Xenopus tropicalis: one gene and its partners. The protein of the gene in region 7 purifies or fractionates together with the protein of the main gene of each other region. This does not show direct contact. Links are inferred from orthologs where the notes say so. Each region holds a gene or a part of one and is shown on either strand. Other genes may lie near its edges. The genes, in order: hmgxb4, myo1c, baz2a, baz1a, rbbp4, baz1b and smarca5.

Region 1 (4,433 bases), on a different chromosome or scaffold from region 7:
CCATTGTATTCTACACAGTTTATCTGTTATCTTCTTATGTAACCTGTGCCTTTTCTCCTTTTTTCAATTTAAATGGCTGCCCCCATGGCTACACAGCAGCTATTTCTATTAACTATAGTAGTCTTTCTGAAGCAAACGCGCAACTTTTACCAGTGCAGGGCAACAGTACATTATATGTTAATTATTTTAAAACATTTTTATTTTTTAGTGTTACCGTTCCTTTAATATGTTATACTTTTATTTCCTTGAGTGTTTCTGCACTGCTCCACATGTGCTCTGTACGACACTTCATTTATGCACAGCGGCATTTTGACCACTGATTTTTTTTGGCCAGATAGCAGCAGTGAACAAAACACCCCATGTAGCATAGCTCTACAGCTAATAGCACAGTGTTGCTACCTCCACTGTTTCTGCCGGTGGATTTAACTTTAACAGTATCAGACAGTTGCTATTTAAGTCAATGGCTGCAGTGTCGGACTGGGACCCCAGGGGCCCACCAGAAAACTTTAGACCCTAGGCTCTGCTTTCCAAACTATTTTTCCTTCTTTTCTCACCCAAACTCTTCATTCTCCTAGTCTCCTAATTTACATGCTAGCATCTATTTTCCATTTATTTCTCCTCTTTCTTTCCATTCAGAAATAGGGAATGACCATAAACCAGATGGGTCAGGAGCAGGAGGGCCCAATGACACCTGGGCCCACCGGGAGTTTTCCTGGTATCCTGGTGGGCCAGTCCAACACCGAATGGCTGCTTCCACTTCAGAGCAGTACTGGTGTTTTAGCTACTGGCAGAGAAAAGGCTTTATGTGACATTAGGATCAATCTGGCAGAAAATAACAGAACACTATTAATGCCTGTGTGAGGATAAAAAGGAGATTTTGAACTAACTGGAAACTTTTTTTTCTCATAGGCCCAGACTGTCAGTGCAGACTGGAAGAAAAGAATTAGAAAATTAAGTGGTTCATTTGTGATGACAGTTCCATACAGTCCTTTGTCCATACTATACTTGTATGCTGACTTACATCTTCATCTAGTGTTGTGTGTTTGGTGGAGTGATATTTACCCTAATCATTATTTACTTTATGGCAAACTCTGAGGCCTTTGGAATGCAGTCCCTTGGCTCCCAATTTCATCACTGTAATGTCAAAAAATACTTAGCACACCCTTAGCTAATGCACAATCAAGTGTCCTTAGAAGAAATGTACTCTCTCTCTGTGCACACTTTCTGCAGTACTTTACATCATGGAGATTTACTTTTAAATGATGCAACAGAATTACAACAGGCAGGCATTTGTAATGCGTGTGTGTTTCCAGATTAACAAATCCATTATAAATATTTTACATTTCCACTCAGTTTCATACTCACCAGTATTTGCTTGGGGCAAGCATTGAGCTGTGGCACATGACTTGTAAGACATACCAATGGGCCCAGGGCACACAGGATAGAATCCAGTAGCACAGACAGACTGCCAGAGACAGCAACCATTCCCTTTGAAATATAAGTAAGGAAAGATGGTTAGGCAGGATGATTTATAATAAGTCAAAGAAAAGATTATTTTACCTTATTATTATTTTACCTTAAATAAAAATGATTTTTTTTTTCCAACTATCAAATCTTTAGTATCTGACTGATTGCACATGAGCCAACTACTGTACAAGTGTTCATATGTTTGTAAACAAACAAACACCATCACAAATACATTTGCTGAAATCAGTACGTTTATTGCCTGCTTTATAAATTTATGCTCAAAGTCACCCAAATGTTTTGTGCACACTGCCAAAAAGAAATAAGGGGGAACTTTGCTGGGGATGTTCCCTGAGGTGAAAGCAGCCTCAGAAACAGCACTGTTGCAACATTTAGTCAATCATGCTTTAAGGGTGCAAGAAATAAGTATTATACAACCTGTAGCTCTCTACCTCTAATAATTCTACACATTTTAGCATCCATAAGCGGACTACCACTACTAAAAACCAAATAAATTAAATGCTAACTTCTGTCTCCTGGAGGCGGTGTCCGATTAGGCTTAGAGACTCCCCTAGCAGCTGCAAATGTGCAGCTACATCAATTGGCTCTGTGTCAGGGACCTTGGCTGGAGAGGTGGAGAAGGAAACAACACTGGTTGGTGACTTCTTGTTTGGGGAGGGGAGACCGGAAGATGAGCCTGAAAAAATAGAATACATAAGGATGACAGACTTAAGACAAACAGTTCCATCATTATATAAATGGAAATGTATATTTGCTTAATTGCTATCAGAAACAGCCTATCATTAATCTTGGTACTTGAGTGCAATAGTAGGCAAACTACCTCTTAATCAAAAATCCCAACACCAACAGTATGTTAAAAGTATTTTAATTAAACACTAAGAAGTCATTAGAGTGATCTTGCCTTTCCTTTCCACAATAAGAGGCTACATTGCATGCTCTTGTAGCCCTGTGTGTGCTGGAGGTGTCTTCATGTAGAAGACTTACATCAGAGCACTATGACGTTTTTGTGAAGATTTCTTCACAAAATGGGCAAATGTACAATGGAACTGTGCTGCCCTCTTCATTCTCACCAAGTGGACTAAGCAGTCACAGATCTGTGCCTAGCTGGTAAACCAGTTTCTGAATAAAGGGTTTGGTATTTTAACAACAGCAGCTTTGCAGGAAACATGGCACAGTAAAAATTGTTATGTACATTATTAATTCTGACTGCCACTGGACAATACCTTTGCTCCTTGCAGCAGACTCAGAGGAGCTGGATTTCCGTTTCACAGTAGTGGCCTCAGCTTTGTTCTGTTTGTGCTGGAGATACTGAGCCTTTTGTTTCCAAGCCTACAGTTTGTAAAAAAAAAAAAATACACTCAAACTTACACACACCTAAAATTAGTTTTGCATTGTTTTACATTAGAAAGAAAACAGAAGTAAAAAAAATTAAACTTTAATATTTTATGGAGTCACTTTGTTAGGATAAAACTCAAAAAGGGGGCCCCTTTGGGTTAAGGAGTAGTGGACAATAATCTCAGGTTATTTTTTCCGTCATGGCTAAACCCCCCGTAAAGACACTCTAAAGCCATGTAACACTAAAAACACTAAAATGTTCTGCTGAGCATTGTAAAAGTACTACTTCTTAACTCTACTACTCAAATTTCTTTGTGAATTGAACTGAACAATGGGTAACTTACAGTTAATCAGGATTTTACTTTTTTAAAATCCTGATTAACTGTAAGTGCCTGTACAAAGCACTTAAATTATTTTAAAATTCTATATAAAACGTAATATAATCATTCAGAAAGGGAACTCACAAGTTTATCTTTTTCCGGAAGCTGCTTCCACACCTCAGCAAGTTTCTTACTTAACTCCCCAAAGTCTGTTAACAGGAAGAAAAGTGAGTAAAATAGCAAGTAAAAAAACAAATATACCAAGAAGAATTTATTCATAATTTACAATATACCCTTTTTGACATTTCTAAAAAAAAGTGTTATATTTATATATACTTTCACAACGCAGGTACCTATTTGTTATTGTTAACAAATACGTACCTGTTTCTAACAGTGAGTTGTTTGGGGGAAAGGACAGTTTTCTTGGACAAACAGTTGCCTCTTAGTGATTGAAGAATCGTATTCATAAACAGGCAAAATTTCCTGGTAGCAAAGACTGTCTACTATCTGCTACCCTACAAGCTACTGCTGAGAGGGCACAGGGAATCTTAAAAAAGACCGAGTGTAATTTTGTTTTATAATTTATTTATATATTTTTACACACTGAGCACAAAACATATATACCAATTCTCATATAAAAACATATGCCTTTATTACTTACCAATTCCTGGGTGCTCTGCAATGATGCTACCTCGATATTCTTTGGAGAAGACCTGGTAAGCAGACATATTCTTCTTTTTGGGCTGGTGGTGGATAAGCATACATCAGTAAGTGATAATGAAGTTTTATATCAAATCCACTATTTTCTTATCCTAAAATAGCCCTAGTAACAGCTCATCTTTAAATTCCAGCTTGTTCTGAAAATGTTGATTTTTCTCTCCTGTATGGGTGCCCAATAGACCTCAGCTCTCTGTTAACAGTAACTAATTTTATGATTATCAAAATACCCTGAGCTTTTTTTGTGTGCCAGGGGAGATAAAGAAAGATCAGGCTCCCACCATATGTCACTGTCCTGACAGACAGGAGTAGAGCTGATAAAAGATTTTTCAAAGGCATGGCAGGGCTATAAATGTATTCCACTCAAGCTGGATAAGTAAGTACACTACAAAACTTGCTTTACCTCAGTCTCAAAAGAGAAACACATTCTCAAATATCCCCATGATGGTATGCTCTTTGTACTATTACTAACAAATGGTCACTCTGCTGCTCATATATACAGCATTTTAAACAATCCATTAATTGTTAATTAAGTGTTATTTGGAATGACTGTGGCTATTTGCTCTAACCTTCTCT
Region 2 (4,433 bases), on a different chromosome or scaffold from region 7:
CCCCTTGGCCTAAGGTGCAGGAAGGTGACAAGATAAGGGGGTAGCACTAGAGCAACCAGGATTGGTTCTGCTTCTCATCTACATATCAACCTACCATTAAAGGCTGACTAAAGAGAATAAAAAGAGCTAAATAGCCAGGTCTGATTAAACAGGGAAATGCTCAGCCTGGTAATCCTTCCTGCAGTTTCTGGCATGCCTTAGAAAATTTCTGGACCAGTTCTGCCCTCAATGCAGATTCCAGCAAGCTACTGCTGGGGCAAGAATCTGGGCCAGGGAAGCCTGTCTGCATTTTCTACAAAACTACCACTAGGGGTAGAACCAAAAAATATAAAAAAAATAAGCTAGGTTGACAAAACAGCAACAGTTAAGATAGAAAAAGCATAAGAAAAAACAGAAAACAAAAGAGACTGGCAAGAGAGAATGGAGTAGACAAACAGAAAAACAAAAAGGAAAACAAATTAAATGTCATAACACTTGTGATACTCAGTCATATGTAAGTGCTTATGTTGCTACAATGGAACACAATTATGCACAACCTCACAAACTGTTATTTTGGCACACTAACAGTGCTTTCTCACATTTTTACAGTATAATCAGTAAATCATAGCACTTTGTACCTTGTATGCAAGTGACTTGTTAATTTTACTGACGAGCCAAGAGAAGGTGCGTCCATATATTGCCTTTGCTAAGGCATCCCGTGCATATGCAGCTTGCTCAAGATTTAACGGGCTGTTCAGCTACAAGTGGGAGATAAAAAAAAAATATTTTATCCCAATTGCATTTAAATCATACATAGAGGAATTTCACAATTAAATAAACTCTTAGGGGCCGATTCACTTAAGGTCGATAAAACGAGTGCTATTTATAGCATGTGTTAAAAATATTATCACTTTTTTTTTTTTTTTTAGAGTTAACGATCGATTCACTAAAAGAACACTTGTCTGAATTAAGAAGTGGTGTTCTTAGCATTATTTATCAGGCAATGAGCGTTTTAAAGCGATATTTTAACGCATGCACGATAATTTTCACCGCGTGTGATATTTTTTGCCGGACTTGATTTTAGCGCATGCTATTACGCACGTAGCAGTTACTTTCTGAAAACTACTGTTCTGAAGATTACCATTTCCCTGAAAACACAAGCATGCATCACTCTAGGACAGGGGTGGGCAAATTTTTTAGCTCAGGGGCCACATTAATTAACATACGGGCCGGGCCGGAACAGCGTTACGCCCCGCTGCTTCCTCCGTCCCATCCTTCTGTTCCCCGGCTCCCCAGTGCATTCTTTTATATGGTTGCGCCCCGTGCGTGCTGACGCTGTGCGCACGCACGGGGCGCAACCAATCAGAGCCCGTCATTCTTTTAAGGGGGCCGTAGTTTGCCCACCCCTGCTCTAGGAAGAACACATACCAAAAATCTGACTGCAAACTCCATCTTGTCACCACAGACAATCACCAGCTGCAATTTTGTTTAGTAACGCCTACTCCTGGGAGGCGTTATATTTCACAGTAATTATCGCCCCTTTTTACGCATTGAACGCTTCATATGTGTTTGTGAATCACGCGTTAGTATTATTTCTATGCGAAAATTACCGCAATGCGTTTAACGCATGCGGTTGAATGAGTTATAATGCATGTGAAATAACGTTGATGAATTGGTACTTATTTATTGCATACTTTTTAACGCAAAAAAAAGTATGCAATAAGCATTATCGACTTTTAGTGAATCGGCCCCTTAAAAACTAATTTACAACGCACTACCATTTAGTGTGCAAAAAACCCCCCAAAAAACTGCAATTGGCCATTTTCTGCACTTTGCACACTGTGTGAGGCATCATGCTCATGTGCATCCTTTTTCAGAGCACAAAGACCAGCAGCATGCCCAATTGATCAAGCACTGACTGTTAGTCAGGACTTGACCTAAAAAAAGACGGGAAGGGGGGGGGCATGTATACATCTCTCCTACTGCCCCCTGTCCTCTTCATCATTCAGAGGAGCAAGATATAGCGGGCACAAGTACCCTGTAAACAAACACCAAAAGGGTGCGCCTCTGCACTTGTGCCCATGGGGGAGTAAAATACCCAATTACCCTTCTATACATGGGCGTATTTTATGCCCAGTTGATCTTAATTTTTTTTTTTATACTATTCCATCTCATTCAGCAACTGAATACAAAGCTGGTCAGGCCAGTGACCTGGGGAAACCAATAAACAGATTTTAATTTCATCATTCTTAATTTTATTATTGTTCATAATTGCATTCAGACCCTCTGCTGCCCATATAAGATGTCAAGACATGGGGAATCAATTTGTGCCATAAGTTTTATATTCAATTAAGAATTAAATGTCAATTATGATTTAAAATGAATAGGTATCCAAGGAACACTTACTTCTTCTCCTTTTGCAATGATCTTCTTGTGTATAAGAGATTCACGCAAGGCAGCAGCATCAACAGCCAAAAGCTGTAAGAGGCAATTAAAAATGCAAGTAAAAACATTCATTGGGTTAAAAAAAGTTGTTCAAAAAGTGGTTGCTACGTCAACTCGCTGCAATTAAACAAAAAGAAAATGTAATACATAAGGTCTGCTTCCTTGTTTTATAAATACATTGTACTTCTGAATTTCTGTATTTATTTGCAATAGAAACATTCATGGTTTTGATTATTCTGACTAGGAACAGAGAGAGAAAAAAAAAAAATGATACCAACGTTATGCACTTTGGTAGAAATGAGAAGGATCTGAGGTTTTTTTTTAGATTACAAGTCTAATTTCAGGCAATGTCATTCGGTGGCTACTAAAGTAAGTAAAGTGCTGTCTTGCATAAAAAGGGCATTAACTCAAGGAATGAAAAAATCATTTTGCCTTTTTTTTTTTTTTAAAGATTTTATTTTGCATATTTTATATTTACAAACAATTGAACAACAGAAAAAACAGAGTAGAGAAGGAAAGGAAAAGAGAAAAAAGGGGGGTGAGTCTAAGGTACCAGTTCTGGCTGCGCAAGGCTAATGATCCTCCATATGCACCAAATTTATAGGTCCAGCCACGTGCCCCATACGGCATTACATTTCTCCGGGCACCCTCTTGCTAGATAAGTCAGTTTCTGACTGGGAAGGGAATCATCCACCATTTCCGCCAAAATTGGAGAGGAGGAGGATCTAGGGACTTCCAGTGCATTAGAATGGATATCTTAGCGTAGTAAAGCAGCTGCAAATAGCACAGTCTAGAGTAGGAGTGGAGGTGCAGGTCACCGGTTAGTCCTAGCAGACAGAGTTCCGGGGAGTGTATGTTTGGGAAGGCAAGGTTCTCATTAAGGAACTGTAGAACCTCGCCCCAGAATCTCTGTATCACTGGGCAGGACCAGAAAACATGAAACAGAGTACCAACATCACTTCTGCACTTGGGACACAGACACATTTTCATACATTTTGGCCAGGCGGTGGGGGGTTAGGTACACTCTGTTTAAAAATTTTATCTGAATATATCTGTCCCTCATACAGATTGATATTTCTGTCACTTGCAGAAGGGCATCCGACCACATTTCGTCGTCGAGCACCGGGAATTATTTTGCCTCTTTATAGGTCCCAGGTAAGGCTTCACCTAGAGTTATGCAGTGCAGTTTTGGGCTCCAGTCCTTAAGAAGGATATAAATGAGCTGGAGAGAGTGCAGAGACTGCAACTAAACTGATAAAGGGAATGGGAGATTTAAACTATGATATTAGACTGTTAAGGCTGAGGTTGTTCTCTCTGAGAAAAAAAAGACACTTGCAAGAGGACACGATTACTCTGTACAAGTACATTGGAGGGGATTATAGACAGATAGGGGTGTTCTTTTTTTTTTTCCCATAAAAAGGATCAGCGATCCAGATGCCACCCCTTTAGATTAGAGGAACTGAACTTTCATTTGAATCAGCATAGGTGCTTTTTCATGGTGAGGGCAGTGAGGCTGGGGAATGTCCTTCCTAGTGATGGATGATTTCTTGAACAGGCATAATGTTCAAAGCTATTGGGATACTAAAAGCTACAATTAGTACTGATGTTGGTATATATAGTTTATGCACAGTATGCAAGTGTATAGACAGGTCAGGATAGGTTATGTGTGCTGGAGTTCACTTGGAAGGGTTGAACTTGATGGACTTTTTTTTTTCAACTTAACTATAACTACTGGATAAAAATATTTGAGAATTACCTTGAAAAAAAAATGTAAGTTACTTACCGTATATACTAGAGTATAAGCCGAGTTTTTCAGCACTAAAAATGTGCTGAAAAAGGAACCCTCGGCTTATACTCGAGCATATACGCGCATATATGGTAAATGGATTCGCAGCTGCTCGTTCCCGCCAGATAGCGCTCGGACTCGGCGTTGTATTGCCTACACAGGAGAAGGACCCATTCGCGGACTTTATTGAGGTTGTCCCGCAACTCTAAGGACCGGCCAAGCA
Region 3 (4,433 bases), on a different chromosome or scaffold from region 7:
ACAAATTACATCACTAAGCACCAATAATAACTGATGACATCACTAAGCGCTGTTTTTATAATGAAATAATTTAGAGGATATTTCATGGCTTTTGTGTATTATAAAGACATATTAACCCTTTCTTTTACTAGATAGCTCTGCCATAGAGTTGTTTCCTTATCCTACTCCTAATTTAAGGAGGCCATATTAATGGAGCATGGGACATTGCATAGGAATGAATGGGGTGGTGATTCCACTTGCTTTATTGTGTCCTTCAAGGAAGTGCACAAGCACCTGTGTGCTATTACTGTTAAATCTCAGAATTCAGTGATGTAAACCGTGGGTTTTACACCAAATTTTGGTGGGCTGTGGCTTCAGTGGTTTGTTATAATAGCTGGAATCTGTCTGAAAGCAAAACCACTGCTTTGTGGGGTCAAATAAGGCGATTTAACTGTGTTTACACTTCCTTATGCAAGTGCAGTAACCATAACATTTTCAGTTTATGTAATTTGTTTTCCAGAGTTTTTTAAGCACTAATACAATATTTTTGATGAGTGTCCCTCTACCCTCTTGTGAAAAGTGTAATATTTGATGTCTGTTCCGTTTGTGGTTGTGGATGGTGCTTTCACCAGTAACATTGCTGTACATGGGTATTGTTCCTAGAGAACACACTGAGATTGGCTTAGTGTGGCATTTCATGTATATCTTGTGTATAAAGACTTGTTTCTATCTTTTGTAGGCTTTAGACATGGAGACACAAAATCATCTTTCTTGCACTGGACAAACACCTCTCACTAATGCCTCAGGACTAAAACTACTGCCTCAATCGGTGGAACCAGTTTACACAAACAGTACACTTACAAGCTTTTCCCAACATGGAAAGGGTGAGTAGCGGCCACTGTATTTGGCTGTACTTCTGCATCAGTAAAATTTAACTGTCACCAACATCAACCATTTGCGTAAGACTTGTGCTCACACCTGAGAATGAAGGCATAGTAGGTCTAATTTATGAATTCCCCCTGCTGCACCTCCAGCTTGTGGCACTGCTCACCTGTTTAGCCTGGGAGAGCAGCCAGCAGGAAGTGGATTGGTTGGCGGATGCTAGCAAGGATTTTGTAGCATGTTACAGTACAGTGGCATGAAAGGCTATTTTTAAAGGCACATTCCTTTTTATTTGTGTTTAGAATTTTAATAATAAGTTTTAATTATTTCTCTTATTTGTTTTATTTTCAGTGCTGAAGTATGACATGCCAGTCAATGGCCTAATCTCTCCCTCCTTGTCTAACAATGCTCATGGGACATTATTATCAAACGATCATATTACCCATAATTCTGTATCCAATAACTACGACTACCTCTGGAAAAAGCCCAAGTCCTCGGTGCATAAGGACTCTCGTGTACCTAGTCAGTTCTTAATAAATGGCTCAAGCTGTACAATAACTAATGGACCTTCCATTAAAAGAAGTCCACAGGAAACACTGGGAAACTGTACTTCAAACCAAACAGCTTCCTGCAACCTAAGCAGCAACAACTTGTGCAGTCCTAATGAAGCTGATATTAAGGTGGTAACTGCAGCTAATGGGACACATTATGGCTTCTGTGAAGCATCCCTTCCTGATTCTGTGTCGGCTTCCAGCATGCAGTCTGTTTCTGCTGATAACCAGGTCAAGGAGGGAACAGAACAGGAAAGTGAGGCAGGCACCTCTGAGAAGTATAATCGCACGCCCGAACTGGCAGAGGCATTGGAGCCATCTGATGCACAGACAGGTATGGATTTGTAGCCTGTAGGGTTGGTATATATTTTAACTATTTTGTCATTTTTTTGAGTGCAGAATGTATTTATATATTTACAGTATGGATTTGTCCCACCTTGTATACCAAATGCATATTTGTAGCACTTGTCAGATTGGTTTGATAGGAAATAGTCATGCTGATAATTAGTATAAAAAAGGAACATTCTTAAAAATATTATACAGTGAAACCTCAATTTTACAATCTCTAATTTTGTATTCCCTCATTTTATACCTTTTTGCGGTCCCACCAATATATAATACACACAAAGCATTTCCTTGATTTCACATTTTCCCTGATTTTAAAGGAACGGTAATACCAAAAAATGAGTGTTTTAAAGTAATTCAAATATAATATTCTGTTGCCCCGCACTGGTAAAAGTTGCGTGTTTACTACAGAAACGCCACTATAGTTTATATAAATAAGCTGCTGTGCAGCCATGGGGGCAGCCATTCAAGCTGAAAAAAGGAGAAAAGGCACAGGTTACATAGCAGATAACAGATAAATCACCATTGAATTCTACAGAGGTTATTTGCTATGTAACCTGTGCTTTTTTTTGAATGGCTGCCCCCATTGCTACACAGCAGTTTTGGTTATATAAACTATATAGTGTTTCTGTGGCAAACACCCCAGTTAGACCAGTAAAGAGCAACAATACATTATATTGTAATTACTTTTATTTTTTGGTGTTACTGTTACTTTAATCCATTTCTGGTCCCCTAAAAAATGTAAAATAGGGTTTCTACTGTGTTGGTGCTTAAAGCAACTATATATTGTTAAATGTTCATTGTGTACACCTTTCTCTGCTTTGCATAAAGAAATCTATTACCTTTTAAATGACTCCTTGCTATAAAATAACTCCATGGTTTAAAATAATAATAGAGCATGGGCTTTGTCACCCTTTTCATTGTGACCTGAACACTAAATGGTCACAATTTAAGTAGCTACTAAACAGGACACTACTACAGCAATTAAATATTAAGGAATATTAACATATATTGTACAACAAATGAATCACATTTAATAAGAGATGTTAAGGAACTCTGTGTTGGCTGTGGAATTAATGTACCAGGGATGGTTACAGAAGTTGGATTATTTCCAGTATTTGTCAAATGGGGGCAATTTAATAATAAAGGGACTATAATTCCACTAGAGGAGATCTTGATCTGCTAGTTTTGTTCTCCTTCATATGATAGTGCTGTCTTGGTTCTAAACACTGTCCAGTTATCTGCTGATCCTTTGTTTAACCATTTGCAGCTTAATATTTAGGGTTTTGGGATGTAGCTTTATGTCTTAAAGTTTTAATTCTATTTTTTGCTGTATTCTATCCCTTTTTTTAATTTTATTTCAATGGATAGATCTTAACAACATTTGTGAATACAAGGAAACAGACCTAGACCCTGTTATTCAGTCAGCACCCAACCCACTCCTTCCTCCTGATGTTAGCAATCTGGATGACCCATCCCAGCTTCCATCCCAGCTTGGGAAATCCCATCTTCTTAATGAAGATTCTCTGGAGCCCTTTGGAACAGATCTAATTCAAGGTAATGATAGTTGACAGGATTTGGTTTTATGTAGACATATTTGGGACTATATTTCCATCTAGTAAAATCACATGCTAAAATATCCTGCAGAAGTTTTTAATTACCTTTTAGGATTACATAATTGATCTTATACTCTAGTTTCCCCGAGGATGTGAGCTGTAGTTAACCTTACCATAAGGAAGCCAGGTGACAAAGTTATGGACAGACGTGGAATATGGTTGGGCACTGCAGTTTGTTTACTGGTAATGCTCAGTAATGTGTGCATGAGAAGCTAAAAGAAAGCCCTGTGGTTGTAGGATAGCAGTTAATGACGGTGGTAATGTTGTATTAGTGCTACATAGTTTGCAACTTATCAGTTGTTGCTCATGTTTTCATGTTTACTACTGACAGATCCAATAAGCAGCACCATGTATGATCTAGAAGAAATGGAAGTAGGTGGCATGCAACAAAAGGATCCACCGTTGGACGCCTCAAGCTTGGAATGCCCATCATACACCCTTTCTGCCTCCTTTCCGCTTATGGCTGAAGACACTCATAACTCTTCTGTCCTTTTTAATGCAGCATCTGCTTCCCCAGTTCTTGGAGATTCTGTAATGCAAGGTATATTTACATGTATAAAATTGCTTATGTTGGAACATATATTTTATTTTTTTAATGCATTTCTGGTATAGGGGTTTTAAAGGTTTGCACATGGAGTATTGATCATTTCTGTGCAAGGTTTGTCCTCCTACAAATGGGTGACAAAGTAGGAATACACTGCAGTGATTTTGTTTCTCCATCTCAGTACAAAGTGCTTTCACAGTGCAACTAAAACTTTTAAATACAAATATGTGTTTGAATGCACAGGACTCTTTTGCAAGGTCCTGTGTAGAAAGGCCCTTTTAATAGTAAAGGTATAGTCTTCTGTATATACTGACATCCTCCCTGTTGTGTTGACGTGTAAATTGTGACTGAGACTCTGTAGAGAGAATTTGCAGAGAGCTATGGCATGACCATTTTTGCCTACTGGTGCTCTAGTATTACATGGCCAGATTTGCCCGCACCTGGAAAATGGATGCCTGAAATCAGCAATAGGTGTATAAATTGCATAGGGCTGCTGTTCCTAGGAACGTAACCAGA
Region 4 (4,433 bases), on a different chromosome or scaffold from region 7:
GCTATGCATACAAACACTCACAATAGACTTTTATATTTAGTTTGTTCCACTTAAAGAATGTGGGTTAGTTTTGGTAGATTCGCTCATTACTATTTACTTACTATGAAAATTTTATGAATAGGTAATAACTTACCGAATGTCATTCCATCAGGAAACTCATCCTTAAGGTCAAACAGGTCTCCAAAAGCATGTAGAAACTCTAGCACCATGATGGCATCTCCAAAACTTTCAGGAGGGAGCCTTGTTTTCACTGGAGTGGGTTCAGGAAGCTCCTGAGATACAATACGTTTTTGGGGATTTAATATTAGATACATTTTTTTCAGAACAGGTTCAGAAACAGAGTCCATTTGGTGAAACTAGAAGTTGAGAATACTGCCTTGTGCTTTTGCCATCTGATATATATAAATGTACATATTAAGAGTTAATGTAGTGTGACACCTGCATAATATACAATTTGTATTTTTTCCTAAAATCAAAATTTCAGACCACCTTAAGGCTGTGTCTCCATGGCAAAAGCCCCTCCACCATTACTTAGTGCATAGCTAAAATTCTATATAAAAACATTTGTCACCGATACCTTAAGATCATCACACTCCATATCATCCCGAGGTCTGCTCCACTGTTTGAGACGTTCTGCATATTTCTTCTTTTCCTCACGAAGTTTCTCCCTTTCCTATTTAAGTATGATTCAGAAGTAATCATTACAGTTGAGCAAAACAGTGTTAAAAGTTAGGGGTAAAAAAAAAAAAAAAAAAAAAAATAGATTTTTCTCAATAAGTGAGACCATTTAAGAAAACAAAACAAAAAAAAACCCTTAAAGGAGAACTAAACATGAATATGGCTAGAAATGCCATATTTTATATTATAAAATGACAACCCTGGCTTAAATTTTCAGCATCTCTATAGTAGTAGTGATATAGGTCGTTACAATTGTCACAGGAGCTCCCCATCTTGGATTCCACACTGCAGCAGTTTCTAGGCAACCATTTGAACTAATCACTATTCAGAATGTATATTTTAAAAAGCATGTTATTTTAGGAGGATCAGATGAGAAGAGTGGGCAGATAACATTTTATGATGCTATTTTTTATATTTTTTTTGTTTTCATTGAAGACCATTGTCTTTGTTTTAACCATGCCTTAGGTAAATGTCACAAGCAGCATTTCTCAAGTGCCTGTAACCACCTCCCAGTGACTTCATTTGGAGTCACTCAAAAAGAGCAGGCTTTCTTGTCCACCAAAAAAAAAAAACTGACCAGGTTCCTTTTAAAGTCTAGTGTTAGTGTTGCTGACCCTGGGATAAGCTAAGATTCCTATATAACTCACAGCATACTCCAGTCAAGAACTAAAGCATGCTAAGAGTCATAGTCAGAACTGTAGGACAAGCTGAATTAAGTTGCTAGTTTTAGTATGTAGATCATTAAAGAGTGCATTACCTTCTCTTTTTCCAGTTTCATCCTCTCTTTCTCTTCTTTCTTCTTTAACCTTTCCACCTCTACTATTTTTTTCAGCTCTTCCTTTTGCCTTTCCTTAATATGTTTCTCTTGTATGCGGGACCTTGCATCCACTGCACGTTCTCTTCTCATCCTTGCCTTTTCCATTTCTAATAAAACGTTCACAGAGAGCAAGGAAGCTGTTTCAGCAGATATTCAGATAGGCAATCACTATTTAATTGATTAAAATGGAGTCTATGTGAGATTGGGAGCTTTCTGGATAAAGGGTTTCAGGATAACGGATCCCATATCAGTAGTATTGTTGTATTTACAGAGCATTAACTGATTCCACTGCATAATACCTTAGGTTTATGTCAGACAAAGTAATTTCTCCACCAAAAAGGCAGAGAAAAGGCTGATGTCACCCACAGCTGCCCCATATGTAAATAGAAAAGAATGAATGAAACCTACCAGTGCACATTGGGCAGATCTCCATTAGAAAATGGACAGCCATACACAAATATTTTTTGCTTAAAAATGGAAGTGGGAAGGCAAGGTGTGATCCCCAACCAGTGGCTCAGGGGCAACATGTAGCTCACCAACCCCTTAGATGTTGCTCCCAGTGGCCTCAAAGCACGTGCTTATTTTTGAATTCCAGACTTGGTGGCACATTTTAGTTGCATAAAAGCCTGGTGTACTGCCAAACAAAGCCTCGTTCCTCTAGGCTGCCAGTCTATATAGGGGGGCTACCACACAGCCAATAACATCCTTAATTTGCAACTTCCTGGAACTTTTTAATGCTTGTATGGCTCCCCAACTATTTTTACATTTGAATGTGACTTATGGGTAAAAAAAAAAAAGGTTGGGGACCCCTGCTGTAAAAGCATTATTTGATTTGACACATAGCAAAATCATCAAAAAGTCATTAGGGGGCGTATTTATCATGCTGTGTAAACAAACAGTCAGTAAGCTGCACACCATTAATATTAGATGCTACCTGGGTGCCAGTGCAATGTTGTAATATGCAGATAGGAGAGAAGTGACGGCACTCAGAGGGATTTTCACACAGGAAATATCAGGTGAAATAAAAAGTGAGGTTTTATTCAGTCCAACATTTCAGTTCCCAATTGGAACTTTCGTCAGGCAGTGTGTAAGAAACGGTGAGAAAATTCACCACACATCACCAGGCTTTGCTGTGTAAAAAACGGTGTAATTTTTTCACGCATTTTTTCTTCCGCCGGAACTTATGTAAAATAACGACGTAAAATCTGGTGTTTGGAAGGCGATCTTCTCCATTTTACACAGCTTTTTACACCGTTATTTTAGGGAATTCGTTTTACACAGCATAATAAATATGCCCCTTGGTTTAGGGAAATCACAGACAGGTGAGAAAGCTATGGTGTTCAGTGTGACAGTCACAGCATTAAGAATTGTTACCAACAATTGTGTTTGTGTTAAACTTTGTGTTGAAACAAACAGATGCACAGCCAGAATTTAAAATGTGGTAGTTAGCAGGGATTTCCTTACCCATAGCTTTCAGTTGCTTTTTCTGTTGCAAGATTCTCTCTCGTTCTTTTGCAGCTTGGATCTGTTTCTGTTTGTTTGCTAATCCATTGCCCTTTTAACATTAATACAGAAAAGATAGTACTGATGTACACAAAAATCGTGTACAGTTATAACACTTTGGTAGTTATTTTATACCAAAATATATCATTTTCACTAGTTCTTTTCTATTCATCTCATTCCACTCTCTGAAAAGGGGGAACCCGCAGGATTTACCTAGCCGAGTGTGCGAAAGGGATTGAAAACCTGGATATGCATGTAAAATAAGATATTTTTAATGTAGGGCTCTTGTTTTATTGAAAGTGAAAGAAGAGTTTGTATTTTATACACAAAGTACCATCAATAACTAGGTCCCAGGGTGATGGCACATGATAGTTCAGCTTTGCTTAAAAATTAATAAGTCCATCAAGATACGCACACGGTGCTCCTACTCAACTATTTAGACCCCCTCTTCAATACGAACAAAATTTGTTTAAAATTAAGGGGAAAAAATATTAACAATCCAGCTTACCCGATTTAAGTGCTTGTTTGGAAGAGGTCTTCCACTTATTTTTTTATTTGGGGGTGAGCGCTGAAAATCCGGTGGCTCCTCAGGAAAATAATTGAGAAAATTTCTCACAGAAACTTGGTATTTTGTGACTGAACTTGGCTGCACAGAAAAGAAATGGAAAATAGTTTCAAAAATTGCAAAGATCCCTTTACCCATGGCCTTGTTTATCTGCAGATATGCATCTATTTATACTATATTCCTGACAAGATCAATTCAAAATTTACCTAGTGGTTTATGTGACAAAAAGTCACATGATTTTAAGGATTCAGATTTGGTTCACCCAGAGGCATGGATTCATCTGAATCCTGCTGAAAAAAGGATGAATCTTGGCCGAATCCCAAACCAAATTCTGGATTCTCTGCATCTCTAAAACACAGGCAAGCAAATGCACTTTCACCAGCAAAAAAAAAAACAAAACAATTCAGTACTATATGATTTTTTTTTCTAAAAACAGATTTGGTCCCTAAGATTTATTTATTGTCTGATTCAGAGCCATCTGACAATTTTATTAAAATAAAAAATGAAAACTTAAAAAACATTCTACCTTAGTCTTTATTATTCCTTCATGTGCTTCACAGTGCAACTTCAGAAAAAGTTTCAATCTGTCTTGGGAAAATAGCGATGGTTTTCGACTAGAAATAAATGAAAGCCGGTGTTTATTGTAATTGTGAGCAAGAAGACACAACCTAATTTCATCAAAAAAAATGTATACGGGTTTTTTTTTTTTTTTTTTTAATTGCCATTGTTGGCAACTGGAGTTTTCCATCTGAATTCTGTCAATACTGTCTTCTTCAGAACTCAAATTTCAGGAGAGATTAATGAAAATTTCAAAAATTCTTTGATTTTTCTTGCCAAATCTTGTGCAAGAAATGTCAGATTTTCTCAACT
Region 5 (3,738 bases), on a different chromosome or scaffold from region 7:
AGGCGGGGCAGACAATAACTTAAGCTTTCCATTCAGCACTTCCTAGATGTCACTGCACATCTCACTTTCCCCCTCCCTCCTCCTCATCTAACTGTGTAGCCAGTGCATGGGCCTGGGCATCAGGTCCCCCATTCTATCACATACACAAGATTTTGGGGTGATACAAAGCTTGCCTTAATAACAGTGCCCACAAAATGGTGCCTGCCTGCTTGCTTTGATTGAGTAATTCCAAGACGGAAGGAAACAAGATTTATATTATTTATATAGAGTAAGTAAAGTTTAATTTGCTCAACTAACAATATAGAAAATAATTTGGAGTTATTTCTTAGGGTGACAGGTCCGCTTTAACAGGGAAAATCTGTGCCCTCAGTATCTTCCCTATATTCTTTTCTGCTGATTCCCTGCACTTACCTGAGCTTAGGGACCAATTCACAATACATGGATATAGAATATATATGCTGCATTATAATTAATTGATAAATATATATAATGTATTAGTAATTAATACAAATAATTACTACATGGCAGCTTTAAAACCAGTGCAATTAGTATCAGAATGTAATAATCAGCCCTGTGGTATCCACTTATATGACGACCTTATATTTTGCTTGATAATTTGCAACAACCCCTAAGTTCAGCTGCCCAGATCACAAAGAGCATGTGGGTGTCGCAGACCCTTTCCAAGATGGGGAGCTCCTCTGACAAGTTTGAAGTTGTGGATCATTGTTGCTATTGAGATGCTGATACTTTAGGCTGGTGCAGTAAGTTCAGTATATAAAATATGGCATTTTTAGCCATATTCATTTTTAGGGTTTAGTTCTCTTTTAAAGCAGTTGAATTGCATTTAGAGTAACTGGATTTAATTTATGAATCCTTTATGTACTTACTGGACAAATTCCTGAATAACATTAATGTAAATGTAAAGTTTTTTTTTTTATGCTGGTGGAGAAAAATGGAATGGCTTGATTCAGTGATAGAAACGGCATCTGCTTGTCATTGCACATACTGGGTGGATTTTTTTTGTCCTAAAAATCAACACTTAGGGGCCCATTCATGAAACCTCAGTTTCTGGTTGTTAAATAGTACACATGGGTTATTTTTAAGTTCTCTATTGGAATTATTTTGGAAAAATTTTTTTCTACGCACACGTTCAAATTAGGTAGAAGTCTGCCACTGCATAAATAAATGAATAAAGGCAATAGATCATTGACATTTTTTATGCAGATTTAATGCTGTGGAGAAGGAAGAAGTCTATTCATAATTGTGGATGAGAACCAAAATTAAAGAATAGCCAGTGGAGTTAATATTAAAAGCTAAAAATATGGAAAAAAAAATTTGTGGTTTCGTGAATGGGCCCCTTAGTGTGATAAAGGGTCAAGAGGAAACCCTTAAATAAGTATGGTATGTTAAGCTTATATTACTTCTGTGTAATTATTTTGCATCATTATTAAATGAAGCACTCACTGGGAACTTTCTGACTGTGCAGTACTGGTGAATTTCAGTGCTGTAAAGGCACTTTTAAACTTGTTTAGTAGTTTGTTGTTGTTTGTTTGTAGTTATTGACAAATTAAAAATGTAATTCAAAATTATGAAAAAGTGTACTTCCATTTTGCTGTTTTCTGGCTTTAGCTGAAGTGCCAAACAAGCAGAGGCACGAAGTTTAGTTTTGCTCCCAAACCCCCACCAGTGTCATTTTGGCTGGAACTTTGCCTATTACCATATGTATACCTTCATTTTACCTCCACCTTAGCTCCCAAGCCAGCCAGCAGTAACCAAAACTATAAAGTAACTTTCGTCAGCTAAAGCTTATTGCCTCTTCAGAGGGAACTTATTGTATTGCCTTTCTTAAGACTGGAGTGATAGTCCTATTTTTGTTAACAGCTGGGACACCCGATCAAACAACACATCAAAGCCCAGCCACTCTGTGGATGCTCACACAGCTGAAGTCAACTGTCTGTCATTTAACCCTTACAGCGAGTTCATATTGGCAACTGGGTCAGCTGACAAGGTAAACATTACATTTTACCATATGTTGACTGACTTTTTTTGTGTATTAGTAAAGTTCTGAATCCTGTATCACGTGTCCCTTGTACCAAAGAAATTTAGTTTTTAGGATGCATTCAAAGGACATTTAAGTTAAAAGGTGCAAGTTTGTATAGCTGTGTAGAATACAGTGGGTTTTTTTCTTGAGCAGGAAGAATGTGGTTCTTATAGACTAGTGCCACGTGGGATGGATACCAAGCCTGCAGATGAAAGTGGAATTCAGAGCAACTGCGTATGCAGTTTCGTACCATATTTTGCGTAATATTTTAACCCGAAACTGCATGCTCGAACAGCCGCTTCCATATATTTAGAGTGTAGGGGGCAGGTTCTCGGCCTGCACTTATTCCCGAGGTTAAGAATCTGCCCCCCAAGTGCCACAAGCCAAATGAACTGTAGAATGAAAACCATTTAAAATATTCCATTTCTTGCAAATACATTTTTTGGGCACAGACTTTAAATGTAAAAAAAAAAAGTGTACTTGATTACGTTACTGGTCACGATTCAGGCCAGCTTTATTGTAGTATTTCTAACTACTGTGGGGTTGTCGTACAAAATAACACATGGCCTGCTGTGGCCTGCTTTCAAAGCAAGGGTCGGTTGTAATACATACTTTACAAAGCAATGTGGAAAGCTGTTGGAAATTAGTGTGTATGAGTACTTTTTTAAGCCTCATGCTGTAGACAGATTTAAACAGCTACTTTTAGATAGGATCACAAGTAGTCTGTGCAATTCAAGTGTATATATTTTGCTCTTGTTTGGCCTAATGTGTTTTGCATGATGCATCTGGATTTTTAAGGGCCCTTTTTATTCCTACCAAATGATTTCTAACGTTACACTATATTTCCCTCGTCTTTCTCTCAGACTGTTGCATTATGGGACCTACGCAATCTGAAATTAAAGTTGCATTCATTTGAATCTCACAAAGATGAAATTTTCCAGGTATTGTCTTGAATTTTTTTTTTATCATAGCTTTTAGGGAACAAAATGGTTTACACTGTCTGCTTTAAGGGCAAATGAAGGCAAAATGGAAGTATGTATAAAGGACTTTAACCCCACTTGTCACTTTGATCTGACCCTATAAGACTTGGGTCTGACGTAATACAGTCTGTAGCTGTCTTCTCATAAAGGGTTACTATTTTGAGATAATGTGCACAAATTGTAAGCCTGACATGTATATTGTGAAATGCAGAATAGCTAGAAATAACAGATTTCATAATTTTTTTTTTTTTGAGCAGGTCCAGTGGTCCCCACATAATGAGACCATCCTGGCATCCAGTGGAACTGACCGTAGACTAAATGTTTGGGATTTAAGGTAAAGAAATGATCTGACATCCTGTTTAAGGAAAAACTTTCAAACTTATTGAATTTAAAATGGATCCTTACAATTGATCACAACAAACTAATTTCCAAAGTATAACAGTTTCCCAGTAAGACTTGAGAGAAATACTGTGTACTTGTATATTACTATGCATTCAGTTAGTAAACTCTTCACTCGCACTCGCCCGTAGCTTCAACACCAAACTCATTTTTTCTTAAACAGTAAAATTGGAGAAGAGCAGTCTCCTGAAGATGCAGAAGATGGTCCCCCTGAACTTCTGGTAAGAACGAATAGCATACTGTTACATGAAATTCCAGGATACCCAAAAATATAGTACAGGTATGGGACCCGTTATCCAGAATTCTGGGGACTTGGGG
Region 6 (4,433 bases), on a different chromosome or scaffold from region 7:
TTTGTGGCTGATAAGTTTGGCACAACAGCCCTGGCGAAGTCTCATAAATGGGGTGGAAACCTTGATCCTTATTCACTTATAATAATTAAGTCTTGCTTTGCTAAGTCCTGTGTTATGCCAACCTTTTTTTCTTTGTGACTTATTTGTTCAACCAGGCATTAGCCCCATTAGGGCAGTGGCAGACGTGGAGAATAGTCGCTCCGCAAAAAAACTCTGTTGTCTTGGGTGACTAATCTCCCTGCAGTGCCATCCCACTGGCTAGAATGTAAATCGCCGGTGGGATGGCATACACAGCGCTGCGATTTCCCCAAGTTGCCTGAAGTTGTCTTCAGAGGAAACTTCGGACAACTTCAGGCGACTTGGGGAAATCGCAGCGCTGCGTATGCCATCCCTCCCACGATTTACATTCTAGCCAGTGGGATGGCATCGCGGGGAGATAAGTCGTCCACAACAACGGAGATTTGTTGCAGCACAACTAATCTCCCCGTGTGTCACTGCCCTTATATTGAGTGTGCGCCTACTAAAAATTGTGATCTGCGGTTATATTAACAAGTATTTATAAAGCACCAGTGTATTCTGCATGCTGTTAAAAGGATGGGTGTATACATCAAATCTACAGTTTGCATACATAAATATAACTGAGCAAATTTTTGGGCAATGATGTAAATGGAGGTGGAAGCTTCAACTTTTCTGATGCAGCACCTTACATTAATAATATAATGCTTGTGATACTCACTAATGTTTGTTCCATATGAACTGGGCTGCCCGACATCAACATTTAAAGCATTGGGGAAAGTAGCTGCTGAAGGCTTGGTAAGGCAGATTTGCTGGGAGGAAATAGGGCAGTGTCTAGCAGCAAGTTTCGCCCCAGAGAGCTTATTAAAGTGATAGTAACACATTTCTGTTAAACGTAAAACACGTCACTATTACTTCTGAAGTCTGACATCCTAAGCTGGGCTGGTCCTTAACCATAGTCTTTTCTAAGCAACTGAGTGATGATCTAAAAATGAAGCTAACTGATGCTTACTTATGCTTAGTAATGCTTATAAAGTCATCAAGAAATGGTAGTTAATTTAAAATCTGGAAGACCAAGCAGGAGCGAGAATGTTGGTGAATTTGTGCCTTTATTGAAAGTATTATACTTGACACCCTGCTCTGATAGAGCGCAAGCAGCTCTGAATGTTTCCTACATTTTATATAGATGCTGTTGAGTGTAAGCCTATTTTCTGGTTTACACGCCAAGCATGTGTTTATAATGAATTTTCTGTGTAACAGAAATTATGCTGAAGACTCCACTCAAGATGAAGAGGAGGAGGAGGAAGAATCAGAGGAGGAGGAAGAGGTGGAATCGGAGGAGGAGGAGCAAGAAATGATGGGACAGAGATGTAAGTAAAATGAATGCTTTCAGAAAAGCTTCTAGGTATAGTATGTATGTAAAAGTAAAAATTGCTGTGATGGTGCTTAAAGCACTTACATCATTGGCAAATTATCAAATAATTCACATTTTTAAAAATGATTTCCTTTTTTCTCTAACACCTTGTACTTGATCCCAACTAAGCTGCATGAATCCATAATGGTTGGGTTTAACGTTTAAATGATTTCTAAGTAGCTTTAAAGCATGGTGATCCAAATTACAGAAAGATCTCATATCCAGAAAACCCAAAGTCCCATGCATTCTGGATTGCAGGTCCTATAAAACATTAAGTAATAACAGTCTGGAGATTTTGGGGGGGAAAAAGCTCAGTGTAACTGTCAGAACAATTCTAAACTTTGTATTTTGTGATAACACACCAACAGATTTAATAAGAGCTAAAGACAAATTCCTAAAAATTGTTGCTAATATTACTAAAAGACAAAATCTGAAAAAAAGTGAAGATATTTTTTTTTGTCTCTATCACCACTTTTGTCAACCCCCTCACCCCAGTTATTTATAAATAAACATTGTTCTGTATTTCAACCATGTTATTTACTATTAGTTTTTAGTGAAGGTGGAATATCAGCAATAAGGAAACAAGGAAAGCTACAGTTGAACATGCCATAATCAAATGGAGAACAAAGTGATTTATTTTGTGCTGCGTTTTCCAACATAGAATGTTTGAAGGGGTTAAATTCAGGGATAGAGCTTTGCAGCATTATGGTACTCAGAAGAATGAGAATTGTTGGCTTGTGCACACAGACACTGCCTACTCAACATGCTGTTGCCTTTTGAAGAGATGTTTGTGTGCAAGTGTTGGACATAAAGATGAAAGCCCAGGGATAGAACAGGATCAGCATTTCTGTGCAGGCAACAGCCGCCTCTCTAGAGTATGTGCTCACAGCAAGGCGGCAAGCGTACAAGCTCTGTTTTAGCCCTTGCTGTAGTAACACAACACATGTTTGCCCCCTTCCTTTAGTAAGTTAATTTTTCACTGATTAAGTTGGCAACTGCATGCTCCCACTGTGTGGCCTCCTTTTTTTGTTAGTACTATACTCATCTCTCACCAGCAGCAGCTGTAGCTCAGCAATGTCAGTGGGGAGGGGGCTGAGATGGGGAACAAATGTCTTCCTTCCAGTTGTCTGTGTGGATCAGATCTAATGTGGTCTTGTGCTTTTTAATACAAAGCAATATTCGCATGGAAGCTAAATAGAAACTACTATGCTATATTTATGAGCAGTTTATTTTACCATAAATAATCAGTATAAAACTCAGACAGCCTTTAAATATTTTTGGTCTTACTGTATTTATAGACAAATGTATCCAATATCCCTATTACAGGGATGAGGTATAAATCCAATATTACTGCTGCTATCCTAGAGAGGATTGTGCAGTTTAAAGGCCATCTATCACAAAAAAATGGTTTCCCTCACCAGAGGTGGTGTAAGCTATTAGAGCCTGTACTCCGGTAGTGGGAAACAATTTTTTTTTTCCTCTAAATCTGCCCCTTGCCAGCACTAAACTACCTGCACTGGGAGTTAGTTCACAGTGTGCACAGCCATGTTCAAGCACACACATGCACATAATAGGTGTCACAACTCACACATGTGCATGTGTATGATGGGAATCCCAATAGGATTGTTTTGACTCCAATAAGGATTAATTATAGCTTGGGATCAAGTACAAGGTAATGTCTTATTACAGAGGAAAAGAAAATCATTTTTAAATATGTAATTATTTGATTAAAATGGAGGCTGTGGCAAGAGAAAGCTTAGGGCATGTAAATGATCTGTCTAGTTTTTACTTTTTTTTTTTTTTTTAATGAGGTTTTTTATTTTATAAAGTAGCTATGGGAAACACAGTAGGAAATAGCACAGTAACCAGACAGGAAAAAAAACACCTGTGGAATATAGTGTCAAGGAGTGGATATCTTCTGGTTAAATAAAATGTTGTGTTGGCTGCTAGAGGGGGCAGTATATCTCCCCCCACCCCTTCCTCTGTATGAAGAAATCCCTCCTTTCTCCCAGCTACAGCAGCTCATTACACAAAAGCTTCTCAATGGATTTATTTTGATTCTCATTGAAAGAACAGGGGAAACTAAATCTCAAAAGCACTGTTAAACTGAAAAAAAGTATTGCATAATAAGTGCATTATCACACTTTTATCAAATTGTCCTAATAATTTAGTTTTTTCTAAAGGCGTCTTTGAAACACTTGGTATTTCAAATGTCTGCAGTGCCCCTCGTGCTTTTATATAGGTACCTTCATGTTTTTCCCTTTTTGTAGTGAGGTCCCGCAAAGCTGCAAAAGCTAAACCGGGCCGGCCTGCGCGACGTGGGCGTCCACCAAAAAACAGTAATCAATCTCGTGTCTCACGACAACGATATGTGGAAGACAATGAAGCTGATGTCGAGGAAATGGTAAAATAATTCTTCTAATGTTTGTTTTTGTTTAATAGTAAATATTTTAGTGATGTGTGGGTTTAACTGAAACCTGTGGTTGGGGGGTTTGGTTTCAAATGTGGATGACCATTGCAGGTTCGGGTTGGGTGTGAGTTGGACTAGAAAGCTGCTCTCCTCCTTTGCTCCAGGTTCCCTCTCTTGGTACCAGAGGTGTATGCAAAAGTAGCATAAGGAGCAGGAAGACAAAGATATGGGGGTCTGATGCGGGTTAAGGTTTTTTTTAGTTAATTGAGGGTATTTACATGATTAACTATTTTAGTTTAGTATGGCGAGGTCAAACTTGATTAATTGAACTTTTAACCCAAATTAACAAACTGCATATCTACATAGCCTTGGATATTATGCTTGTTCAAGATATTTTACTATCTTCTGATAGATGGAGTATGCATGGATGTCTGAGCTTTATTTAAGCACATTATGCACTTATGTGCTTTTTGCATTTGTAGAAAAGCCTAGCTTTATATTGTCTGTCTTTTCAGGTGCGTCAAAGCAAACCCACATCCCGCCGCCAGAACCAAGAGCTTCAGAAGTGTGAAGAGATTTTGGCAAAGCTCATAA
Region 7 (3,600 bases):
CAAGCTGAATCCTCCCAGTTTATGATGTAGTCCTTTTGATAGACTGAGTTGCTACAGTCGGGTTCAGGATCTTCAGCAGGATTTATGAAGAGAAACAGGACTTTTAGGAAAAAAGGTCAGCATGACCTGTAGGTAGGTTTGGAAATAGGGTCATATTTTTAAAAGAAATTTTTTGGTGTCAGTATCCCTTTAGGTTTGTCTGTCATATAACCTGATGCTGCAGGGCTGCTGATCACATTTCGATGCTAATTGCACTGGTTTGAGCTGCAATGTAGTAATTATCTGTATTAATTACTAGTCAACCTTATATTGTGACATTTATGTTTCATATATACAGTATAATGTGTGTCAGCCCCTAAGCTCAGTAACTGTCAGCACCACAGAGCATGTACATTGATTCAGCAGAAAAGATGATAGGGAGCTACTGGGGCATCTTTGGCATTACAGATCTCCCCTGCTAAAGGGCTGGTACAGAAGCACAAAGCATTTTAGCCCAACTTCTTTAATTAGGCTTTAGTTCTCCTTTTAAAAATATACCCTTAAATCCATATGCTGCCTCCTCGTTTGTATTGCAAAGCAACCCCCAACACATAATTAAACAGCCTGGAACCCCCTAAGAACCACAAATTTCATAACCCCCTCCTACAGGCAGCATACGGCAAGCAGAGTATGGCACACAGGCAGCATAGGGCAGGCAGAGTATGGCGCACACAGGCAGCGTAGGGCAGGCAGAGTATGACAATGGCAAGAATGATATTGTAGAGTAAGGTACACTGTATACAATTCCCTCATGTACAGTGAGGTCTGTACAGAATGAATTAGCTGAGATGGGAATTCAGGAACTTGCTTGGTCTGCATGGTGCCTGGACTTCAACTCAACTGAACTCCTGGGGGATGAATTAAAACTCTAGCTGTGAGGCAGGCCTCAACCAAGCATTAGTACCCAAACTGACAAATACTCTTGAGTCAGAATGTTCCAACATCTATTCCACCCAGAACAATGATATCTGATTTAACATAAAAAATATTTTCAATATTAATCCTTTGGTCTTAGAACTAGATGCTTATAAGGCAGGTGTCCAGATAGATACCATATACACACACACACACTTTATGTCTACATCCCCACTGTCATTCTAGATGCATTTGTACTATATTTACATATGAAAGAATTTGAAGCAAACATTTAGGAATTTACTAGACAAGAATGTTGTATTCTTCTGAACAGTGTGCATGTTGATAATAATCCAAAGATACAAAAATAATACTTTACAAAAATATACACAATGAGTTTCAAAAGCTGTCCAAGGACAGGGAAGGAGGGGGGAAAAACATTAAGAAAAGCACATTAATTAATGAAGCCTATTTTTTACTTCAACTGTTAATGGCTAAAAAAAACCCAGCACAGCTGTTGTATTTAAAAAGGGTAACTACAATAAGTACTATGTTCCTATTTCAGTAAACAGGTGAACCCAATGTCTTTGAATGACATAATAGTAGATAAGCGTACAGTACATCTTATGAAGACCCGTAAAAAACTACTTCAGAAATTTATTGATTTTACAAATTTGTCTCAGAGCTTCAGTTTCTTCTTTCTTCCTCTGCCATCAGGTGTTCCATCCACCTTTCGTTTTTGAGCCTGCAACATTAAGACCATAGTTAAAATCATTGAACTCTCCTCAGTCTGCAGATATACTAAACATGTCTTAATAATCTGTGAGTGAGCTTTGAGCCAAATGTTGGATTTCACTGCAATTAAATGTAGGGACAGAGCTATCTATGAAAAAATATTGGCCAGCAGCAACTTTAGAATTAAACACACTTACCGATGAAGGCCTTGGTCCACGTTTCTTCTTCTCAGCTTTTTCCTTTTCCTCGAGTTCAAGGTTCTCTCTTTCAATTAAAGTGATTAAGGTATTGCATCTTCGCTGAAGCTCCTATTAAACAAATTGCATTTATCAAGCCCATTATACTTCTATTACATTTTAAGTTAATGTACCTGCCAATTTTATAGGTGTGTGATAGCTAAACCTACTCTGCACCTTTCCAGTGGTTTAAGTGCATAGAGTGAAAGTCAGAATATTTTTTTCTCTCCTATTCATCTTTCAGTCCCGTAGCAACCAGATATATGCGGAGAACTAAGAAACCACAAAACATACAAATGAAATCCCAATGCACATTGTAAACTGCATTTTTAAAGGACACCATTAGCTGCAGGAGAATACCCTATATCAAATATACAGGCCAACAGCATACATGTCTAATTGCAGAAACAATATTGTCACTGCCAGCTATACATCCAGATGGGATTTTGCCGGGGCTGCAACCAGCTGCAGGGCAGGCAAATATTCACCTCCTACAGGTCACAGAACCAGGATATTAACACCCAAACCGTACTGGTTGATGCCACATGTCAAGCTTTGTAAGCTGATGCACTGACAGTACTAATTCTATTCAGTACTAATTTTTTCTCAATGAGAAAAAATATAGTGGAAGTAACATTTTAAAATAAAAAAAAAACCAAAAAAACAGATTAAATCCAAATTTATTGTATTTCCTGAAGAAATCGAAAGCTAAGACTCACCATTGCTGTTCTTGATTTTAAGAACCAGTCAAATCTGAACTGGGGAGAGTTCCGTATACACTGCCGCAGTTCATCATACACATTTTCCTTATCAAAACCTAGCTTGTGTAACATGCAAATGAGAAAACGATCCTCTTCCTCAGTGTAGTTTTTTCCTTTGTTTGTACCATACGAAATCCTCAGTTGGTGGAAAGGTGCTTTGTATCTTCCAATCTAAAAAAATTAAGTGACATTAGTCTAAACGTAATTGTGTAGCGTAAAATTTGCAATAAGGAGTTCCATTCTAATTTTACAAATACATTTAGGAAGCAAGAGGGTCATGGTTAGTCCTGTATAAAGGGCAGCCACCAAGGGGCAAAGGGTCCCAGCGAAACAGCATACAGATACTGGACCTTTATCCAGTATCCTGAAAGTTCTAAGGTGGACCTCAAACCCACTCCCAATTCAGCAAAATCCAACAGCTGAGATTTTACCAGATGTAGGACCAGGTTGAAATCGGGCAGTGCTGATGATTTCCACATAGAGCAGTCAGCTGCCATCTAAAGATTTATCTGCAGCAGTGAGAGCAAGTAAAGTGAAGGGGGACTAAAACTGCATAGAATTTGTTTTCATAAAATCGGTACAGATTTTCTTCTTCAAAGCCACACGAGTTTCTAATAGCAGGCCTGCATGTAAATAACTCTGTACCTTAGTGTGTGTGTGTGTGGATCTACTGGCAGGGTTTAATGTGCACAGCAATTTAAGCAAAAAATAAAGCGTCAGTCTAAACTGTGTGCAAATACCAATGGTACCTTTGTGTCTAGAGCTTTCTTTATGCTAATCCTCCTCTGTATCCTCGCTTCTCCCCTTTCTATTTGAGCCATTATCTTCTCGATATCTTGAAGCTCATTGCACCTTTCCCAGAAGACCGCTAAATGAAAAAAATTAAATTGTTACTTGGAACAATAAAAAGAAACTACAGGCTTCTGAGTACAGAGTTATAGGTAGCAATATGACTTTATAGGTCTCATAGCAAA

What was found.
Region 1: the proteins of smarca5 (region 7) and hmgxb4 purify together in Homo sapiens (affinity purification with mass spectrometry; 3 studies listed by BioGRID and IntAct, with this or other methods). This does not show direct contact. The link is inferred for Xenopus tropicalis from reciprocal best matches to the Homo sapiens genes SMARCA5 and HMGXB4.
Region 2: the proteins of smarca5 (region 7) and myo1c purify together in Homo sapiens (affinity purification with western blotting; 3 studies listed by BioGRID, with this or other methods). This does not show direct contact. The link is inferred for Xenopus tropicalis from reciprocal best matches to the Homo sapiens genes SMARCA5 and MYO1C.
Region 3: the proteins of smarca5 (region 7) and baz2a purify together in Homo sapiens (affinity purification with western blotting; 3 studies listed by BioGRID and IntAct, with this or other methods). This does not show direct contact. The link is inferred for Xenopus tropicalis from reciprocal best matches to the Homo sapiens genes SMARCA5 and BAZ2A.
Region 4: the proteins of smarca5 (region 7) and baz1a purify together in Homo sapiens (affinity purification with western blotting; 8 studies listed by BioGRID and IntAct, with this or other methods). This does not show direct contact. The link is inferred for Xenopus tropicalis from reciprocal best matches to the Homo sapiens genes SMARCA5 and BAZ1A.
Region 5: the proteins of smarca5 (region 7) and rbbp4 fractionate together in Homo sapiens (co-fractionation; 6 studies listed by BioGRID and IntAct, with this or other methods). This does not show direct contact. The link is inferred for Xenopus tropicalis from reciprocal best matches to the Homo sapiens genes SMARCA5 and RBBP4.
Region 6: the proteins of smarca5 (region 7) and baz1b purify together in Homo sapiens (affinity purification with western blotting; 11 studies listed by BioGRID and IntAct, with this or other methods). This does not show direct contact. The link is inferred for Xenopus tropicalis from reciprocal best matches to the Homo sapiens genes SMARCA5 and BAZ1B.

What each region holds. Positions count from the first base shown.
Region 1 is NC_030680.2:122,056,475-122,060,907, forward strand, and holds part of hmgxb4 (HMG box-containing protein 4), read right to left. Parts: coding exon 4,427-4,433; intron 3,884-4,426; coding exon 3,802-3,883; intron 3,350-3,801; coding exon 3,285-3,349; intron 2,815-3,284; coding exon 2,709-2,814; intron 2,162-2,708; coding exon 1,992-2,161; intron 1,489-1,991; coding exon 1,366-1,488; intron 1-1,365. UniProt on the Homo sapiens protein: Negatively regulates Wnt/beta-catenin signaling during development.
Region 2 is NC_030678.2:45,982,552-45,986,984, reverse strand, and holds part of myo1c (unconventional myosin-Ic), read right to left. Parts: intron 2,458-4,433; coding exon 2,386-2,457; intron 738-2,385; coding exon 618-737; intron 1-617.
Region 3 is NC_030678.2:138,720,225-138,724,657, reverse strand, and holds part of baz2a (bromodomain adjacent to zinc finger domain protein 2A), read left to right. Parts: intron 1-718; 5' UTR 719-727; coding exon 728-863; intron 864-1,212; coding exon 1,213-1,746; intron 1,747-3,128; coding exon 3,129-3,314; intron 3,315-3,704; coding exon 3,705-3,914; intron 3,915-4,433. UniProt on the Homo sapiens protein: Regulatory subunit of the ATP-dependent NoRC-1 and NoRC-5 ISWI chromatin remodeling complexes, which form ordered nucleosome arrays on chromatin and facilitate access to DNA during DNA-templated processes such as DNA replication, transcription, and repair.
Region 4 is NC_030684.2:109,364,595-109,369,027, forward strand, and holds part of baz1a (bromodomain adjacent to zinc finger domain protein 1A), read right to left. Parts: intron 4,178-4,433; coding exon 4,090-4,177; intron 3,645-4,089; coding exon 3,507-3,644; intron 3,051-3,506; coding exon 2,960-3,050; intron 1,603-2,959; coding exon 1,436-1,602; intron 674-1,435; coding exon 578-673; intron 273-577; coding exon 134-272; intron 1-133. UniProt on the Homo sapiens protein: Regulatory subunit of the ATP-dependent ACF-1 and ACF-5 ISWI chromatin remodeling complexes, which form ordered nucleosome arrays on chromatin and slide edge- and center-positioned histone octamers away from their original location on the DNA template to facilitate access to DNA during DNA-templated processes such as DNA replication, transcription, and repair.
Region 5 is NC_030678.2:90,301,643-90,305,380, reverse strand, and holds part of rbbp4 (histone-binding protein RBBP4), read left to right. Parts: intron 1-1,881; coding exon 1,882-2,008; intron 2,009-2,904; coding exon 2,905-2,982; intron 2,983-3,275; coding exon 3,276-3,355; intron 3,356-3,583; coding exon 3,584-3,641; intron 3,642-3,738. UniProt on the Homo sapiens protein: Core histone-binding subunit that may target chromatin assembly factors, chromatin remodeling factors and histone deacetylases to their histone substrates in a manner that is regulated by nucleosomal DNA.
Region 6 is NC_030678.2:41,866,961-41,871,393, reverse strand, and holds part of baz1b (tyrosine-protein kinase BAZ1B), read left to right. Parts: intron 1-1,275; coding exon 1,276-1,385; intron 1,386-3,699; coding exon 3,700-3,833; intron 3,834-4,354; coding exon 4,355-4,433. UniProt on the Homo sapiens protein: Atypical tyrosine-protein kinase that plays a central role in chromatin remodeling and acts as a transcription regulator. Involved in DNA damage response by phosphorylating 'Tyr-142' of histone H2AX (H2AXY142ph).
Region 7 is NC_030677.2:59,221,344-59,224,943, forward strand, and holds the end of smarca5 (SWI/SNF-related matrix-associated actin-dependent regulator of chromatin subfamily A member 5), read right to left. Parts: intron 3,495-3,600; coding exon 3,376-3,494; intron 2,798-3,375; coding exon 2,585-2,797; intron 1,938-2,584; coding exon 1,827-1,937; intron 1,640-1,826; coding exon 1,574-1,639; 3' UTR 1,194-1,573; downstream 1-1,193. UniProt on the Homo sapiens protein: ATPase that possesses intrinsic ATP-dependent nucleosome-remodeling activity.